2 separate regions of the Mus musculus genome follow, and region 1 is reported to be linked to region 2. The links are microRNA targets in miRTarBase. Many come from high-throughput screens and were not tested one by one. Region 2 holds a microRNA gene; the other region holds the end of a gene's coding sequence.
Evidence for each region. Region 2 holds the annotated microRNA mmu-miR-3081-3p (UUGCGCUCCGAUCUCUGAGCUGG, at 1,019-1,041, shown strand). A microRNA usually pairs through its seed, bases 2 to 8, with sites in the 3' UTR of a target mRNA and lowers its output. Matches are read on the target gene's strand: a 7mer-m8 pairs with bases 2 to 8, a 7mer-A1 pairs with bases 2 to 7 and ends in A, and an 8mer does both.

Region 1: the mRNA of Pla2g7 is a reported target of mmu-miR-3081-3p. Seed matches in the 3' UTR shown: 7mer-m8 at 2,625-2,631.

The regions. Positions count from the first base shown.
Region 1 is chr17:43,611,397-43,614,674 of GRCm38, reverse strand. It overlaps Pla2g7 (phospholipase A2, group VII (platelet-activating factor acetylhydrolase, plasma)), which reads right to left. Exons shown (of 12, transcript NM_013737.5): 11 at 3,258-3,278; 12 at 2,474-2,832. The coding sequence ends at 2,696. Among named protein-coding and RNA genes, the nearest start is that of Tdrd6, 17 kb to the left of the region's middle.
Region 2 is chr16:44,555,821-44,559,098 of GRCm38, reverse strand. Mir3081 (microRNA 3081) reads left to right here and starts at 970; the gene lies at 970-1,053. It overlaps Boc (biregional cell adhesion molecule-related/down-regulated by oncogenes (Cdon) binding protein), which reads left to right and starts at 229. Exons shown (of 19, transcript NM_172506.2): 1 at 229-661.

The DNA.
Region 1 (3,278 bases), not on the chromosome of region 2:
ATTGTAGCTCATTGGATGTTTTTCATCATTTTTATCCTTTGAGCATCTGCATAAACCATAAACTGTAAAAAAAAATGTATTCTGAAATAAAACATCATCTCACCCACAACACTTAACCATTCTTTAAAATAAAAAGATCTGCCCAGTGTGAATAAGGTGAGCGTATGTGGATAAAAATAAAAATATCAGCCCATGTAGTCCTGTGGGGACAGTGAGAATTAAGCATTGACAACTGGGTGTTGCTGGGCATGGTGTCTTTACACTCAGCACACTTGAGGCAGAGGCAGGCAGACCTCCGAGTTCTAAGCCAGCATGGTCTACACAGTGATTCTAGGCGAACCAGAGTTACACAATGAAACCTAGTCTTAAAAACATAAAATGTGGGTGCCATTTCAATATGTGGAAAATGGAGAAGTTGCATTACAAAATAAGATGCTGGGCAGCTCTCTCAGCAGTTATGAGTGCCTACTGCTCTAGAAATGGACCAGAGTTCAGTTCCCAGAACCCATACAGGACAGCGCATAACCATCTGTAACTCTACTTCCAGGAACTACTACGTTCTCTTCTGGCCTCCACCACCTGCACATGCACAAGAAGTGGCTGGCACACACACATACACACACACACACACACACACACACACACACACACACACACAGAGAGAGTCATACACAGACACACCAACACATCACACAGACTCTGACATACACAGACACACACACCCCAACACACACACACACACACACACATACACACACACTTACATTCACAGACACACAAACACAGAGACAGATACACACAGACACAAAGAGACAGAGAATTCTTACAAAGTAATAATTGAAAAACCTTGGTTGTCTTTGGGATAAATGCAATAGAGAGTTTGGCTGGGGTAGTGAAGTGTTATAAATTACCAAGAGGAAAAGAAGTTGCACTATGGCCAGAATAGAAAAACCTTCAGTTTTGTGTGAAGGAATTTTATCTGTTTAAAGACTTAATCCCAGCACTTGGGTGGCAGAGGCAGATGGATTTCTGAGTTTGAGACCAGCCTGGTCTACAGGGTGAGTTCCAAGACTACACGGGAAAACTCTGCCTTGAAAAACCAAAATAAATAATAAATAAATGAAGTTAATGTAAACAGCAACTGGGAGGAGATGTCCAGTTGCTCGGTGTGAGTGAGTGACCACCACTAAGTGGTGGCAAATCAGAACATAGCTACCTACTACCTGAGCTAGAAAAGGATCAAACCTCAAAGCTGACAACCCTTGTTCACACTGGCCAAGCCCAGCCACACTCTGCTGACTCCGGAGACGCAACCGGACAGTTACACCAGAATAGGTACTTAACCGATGGACAGCCTCCATTCCTGTACATTCTCAGCAAACAAACCCATTTTCTACCCAGTTCTCAGATGTATACGTGTGTGTGTGTGTGTGTGTGTGTGTGTGTGTGTGTGTGTGTGCAAGCGTGCGCACGTGCCTTTGAAGGGCTGGGGAGATGAATCAGTAGGAGCTGCACATGTGTGATGGCATGCACACCCCCATGCATGTGCATACATGAATACACACAAGTATCTCCTATGTGTGCACACATAGTACACACAAAATGTTATAAGACCCCCTTTAAACTTCCACTTAACTGTTAATCTTACAATGTCATCTCTCACAGTCTCTCTCTCTCTCTCTCTCTCTCTCTCTCTGTCTATCGGTCTCTCTCTCTCAAGTTTTTTTCAAGTCAGGGTTTCTCTGTATATCCCTGGCATCCCTGGTTGTCTTGGAACTCACTCTAGACCAGGCTGCCCTTGAACTCAGAGATCAGCCTTTCTTTGCCTCTTGAGTGCTGGGGTAAAGGTGTGTACCACCAGGCCGGGCTAGGTCATACAAATAAAACATCTAATGTTGGCTGAGAATGTTGACCATTTCCTTTGTGTCCTTCACAGTCTTTGCGTAAATACCTAACGTGTCTGAATGATCCCTGGCCTGCCTACTCACAACACCTCCATTTAGTAAACAGAACGCACCGGAAATTAAAAACCTAATGTGCCAATATTGACTCTATTGCCCTGTCCCAGATATTCTAAAAATCCTCCAGCACAACCCCTTTCATCCTCAGTTGAAACAGGACAGCATCACCCATCCTGCATTAGGACTGACTTCGTGATCAGATCAATGGATGCTCCTACCCTCAGCCAAAGGTCATAGAGGCATGCCACCAGATTCCACACAAGCTCTCCCGCTGCTCAGTCTTAACTCTGCTGCTCAGACTTACAGAAAGCCAAAGATGGGATAATCTGTTTCATTGTTTAGTTTGTGATAATCTGTTTCATTGTTTAGTTTGGAAATCTTAAGTCATTTCCAATGTGTTTTGTCTGGCATCGTTCCTGACTAGAGGCTTTAATTGTAAATGTAACATGAAAGTAGCTTTTCATTTGACACTTAAAGGACCAGCTTTGTAAAATTAAGATTTAGACAGACAATCATTTTTGTATTCTCTATTTTATATTCGTTACATTTACAGGGGGAAAAAAATCTTAGGCTAGGCGTTCATCACTATCCTACAGTACAGTGTATATTTAAAAAATGCTTATTTGGGTAAATACATTGCTCGCGCGCGCGCGCGCGCGCGCGTGCGCTCTCTCTCTCTCTCTCTCTCATGTCACTCTACTTTTAAAAGGCAACTGTGTAACAAGCAAGTTCTTCTAATTCTGGGTCTGTGATCCTGGAGAGTGTTGCTGAGCCGGGACCTGGGTGACTGCGTCAAAGGGTGACCCAGGAATCAGGTTCTCATCATCTCCTTCCACCAGAGGGTCCCACTGATCAAAGTCTTTCTGAAGCCCTATAAAAACCACAAGAAAACTGTCAAGAATGTTAAACAGCCGAGGGCCGCTAGGTGGCACCACAGAGCCACAAATTACAGAATCATCACAGTGATAATGGAATTCCTAGGGCCCAGGTTGCATTCGAAAATGCATAACCTCCAGAGCTGCTTCGAGACAAGCAAGAGGCTGTCAGTACCTTCAACATGTAACTCCACTCTAGGGTTCATAGAAGGGCTGTTAGCTTCAACGAGTACATATATATGGTATGCATATATGCACATGCACACACATTAATGCAAGGCCACATACTCCTCTTTTTGAAATGTTTCTTTTCAAATTGATTCACTGCTTTGTTTACCAAAAGCCAAGTGGAAACAGCTACAATAAGACTATGTCCCTATTTGATCCTGAGAACCTAGCAGAGGAACGTGCTGTTTCTTACCTAAATGCTTTTGTAAGAAAG
Region 2 (3,278 bases):
AATTTGGAAGGACTGAGGGAATTTAACGCAGTGCAAAGAAAGTAGGCGTTAAGGGAAAAATTGTTCTAAAATTGGGGGGGACTTGTGGTCCCTCCCCCCCCCCCCCACTCCAGTTTCCTTTTCAAGACTTTTTTGCTTTGCTCCCTTTTGCTCCTCCCCCTCCTCCCCGCCTCCTCGGCTCCCCTCCCCTCTTCGAGCGGTAATGGGAGGCTCCTAGGCAGGAGAAGCAAAAGAAGGAATTGTTTGCAAGTTCAGTCATCCAAAAAAGCGTCTTCCATATGGAGGGATTGGGTGCGCTGGGCGCGGCGTCCTCTGCCTTGCCCGCCTGCTGCCGCCGCTGCCACCACGGCTCTGGCTTCCTGCAGTGGGGACCCTGAGCTGGGTCTCGCTGGTGTCAGCTCCGGCCGGCCGCATTCTCACACTCTCGCACCTCGTACCCGCCGCGGCCACACAAGCCCTTCCTCCTCCGGCCGCAACTTCTGGGTCCTGGGCTCTTTTGTTGCTCCGGCTGCGGCCACTCTGCCGTGGTGTGTGTCCTCTTGTGTCACCGCGCTGTGCGTGTGTGTGTCGGTGTGCGCGGGGGCCGTGTGGCCCTTCTCCGCTTCACCACGCGGGACCCGGAGTCCCGGCCCCCTCTTCCCAGGCTCCGGCTGCAGGCGAGGTGAGTCATGTCGCTGAAGTTTGTTTTCTTTTCATAAAAAGTTGTGTTTATTTGTTGGTTTGGGGATAGGAGGCGTGTGGGAGGCGGCCGCCCGTCCTGGGATGCCGAGGGCTCCCGGGAGACGTGCTGCAGGGCGCGGGCTCCAAGCGCTGGGCTGGGGCTCCGCCTGGGGCTCCGGCAGCTAGGCTAGGACCGGGGTTGGGGCCCCTAGTGCTTGACTGGGTTTCAAGCTGGAGGCTCACTTTGGGGCTCAGGGTGTTCTGTTGGGGTTCAGACGGAGTTTGGATCTCTGGGTTGGAGCTCGAGCGCTGGGCTGGGGCTCAGACTGGAGCTTGGAGCGGTGAGCTGGACTCGGGCTTGCGCTCCGATCTCTGAGCTGGGCTCTTGCCCGGAATCCCAGCGCTTGACTGGATCCGACTAGAGTCAGGGCCTGACGCCGCACGAAGTTCCCGGAGCCGCCACTGCTTGTGCTCCTCCGCCCAGCCGAGGGCCGCCGGGCTTCCCTCTCTTGCCCGGTCTGGCTCGGTTAGCTCCCGCGGTTCCCGGAAGCTGCTCCGGTGGTAGGAAGATTCAGACATCTTCCCAAACTCACCCCGAAGGGCTGACAGGGTGCCCTGGTTGCACAGCCAAGCGGTGGGAACAAGCCCACACTCGACACCGATTTGCTTCTTTAAGGGGAGAAGTTATCAGCGAGGTTTTAAAAGGAAAATCCTAAGTCAGGGACCAAGGGAGACCAAAAGCTAAACAGCTCTTAAAAAATCTTCTTGGCTGGACCGGTGGATGGGAGGCACTGAATTAATTGGCATCCAGAGGTGTCTGTGAGAGTAAAGCATCAGCAAGAGGTGTGTGTGTGTGTGTGTGTGTGTGTGTGTGTGTGTGTGTGTGTGTGTGTGGTGTCCCACTGGGGTTTTGTTTCTATTAACTATGAGAAGGTTGAGAAGTGATTTTGTGGGTCAAGTGGTAGAGAAGGCTGTGGAAGAAAGGGAAAGGCAAAATGAACTTTCTGCGGGGATTACGAAGGGTCTGTCGGTTTTCCTGGTGGAAAAGAACTCAGGGGTTGAGAGACTGGTCAACCTGGAGGTGGCTCTGTTGACTTTTGGAGATGGGGTGACCCATGCTCAGTCCCTTGAAACAAGAGTTGTCCTCTAGGGATGTGGCAGTTTCGTCTAAGAATACCCAAACCACATACCAGCAATCCCAAACAGGCACTTTCTGGGTGTGGTGAGGTGCCGTGTGCTCCCTTATTCTTTCCCAGCAAGCTCCATGGCAGCAAGTGTGTGAACTGGAGTTACCTCTTACCGGATGACTGGAAAAGCGTGCTTCTGCTTCAGGCCATGTGCCTGAAATGTCCTGGACCAGCACGTTTGTCACCTAGCTCTTTGTTGTCCAGAATTTTGAAAGCACAGATCGCTTAATGAATGTAGCATCATGGATTCTTGAATATTGTAAACACTTCTGATTTATTCTACCACTGGCTTCTAAATCTAAGTAACCTCGCCCCATGATCTTCTTTCCCTCCTTCTTCCCTCTCTCCCTCCTTCCCCTCTTCCATTCCCTCCTTCCCTTCCTCTCTCCTTCCTTTCTTTTTCTTTTTGCATCTTTTGCCTTGGCCATAAGTCTTCTCCAGAATAGCGTGGAAACCATTAAAAAGGTCTTGTTAGATCAACATGAAGGGCTTGGGTGTCCATACATCTGGATGTCCTGTTTTCTGAGCTTTACTTAAAGTGACTCTGAGGCAAGAGGTTGGCCACTTTGAGGTGTGGAACAGGTTTCCCAGGAGCTCTCTGAGGTCTTATAATTGGCCCTTCTTAATGGTCTAATAATTGAGACCCAGGAGGTTCCCATGGCAATCTTGAAGTACTCTGGGGTCAGCGGGACAGAATCGGGGTGGAAACAGCAGTAGAGTTATGACTTCCCAGCTAGATGACTTTTCAGAGTGAATTTATGCAGAGGCAAAAAATAAAATAAGTTATAGTCCCCATGTCTATTGGCTGCCACGGCCAGCTCCTGTGGAGACTCGGGATTTGTTCCTTCAGGATGAGGCTGCCTGTACCTATGCAATCCAAGGACTGAGGTCTCAGACACTGGCCCTTTGTCACTCTTTTATGATATCTCAGAAACACGACATTGCAAGGGACTTTCACTCAGGAGAAGAGGCCAAATCATGGGCAGTTGGAAGTGAAAGTTGACAGAGTCCAGGATGGGCAAGTTCCTTGGCCACAGCTGGAGAGGAAGAATCTAGAGGACCCTGCTTTGCTGCCAAATGATTGTCCAATTCATGATAAAGACTGTAATTTATGTCCCTTTCCATCCTCCAAATGGGCCCAAGGTTTTGTTGTCTTTGAAGTAATTTTTCAGTGGTATGAGATCCCTGCTCTCTTCCAGGCCTCTCTGTGGTTTCCATGGTCTGACGGTGAATAGGAGATTTTATTCATGAAGTAATTCTGTTCACTTCCCCACAGGCTCCTGGGGTTTAAGAAAAGAGGGCAAGAAGTGAGGCTGAGGACCACAGTGGTCCAGGGGCCCTGGGGGGTCTGGGTTCAAACTTCAGTCGTCACTGATACGCTTAGTCACTCCAGGGTTCATCTTTGTGTCTTTCCAACAATAGCTGAAGATC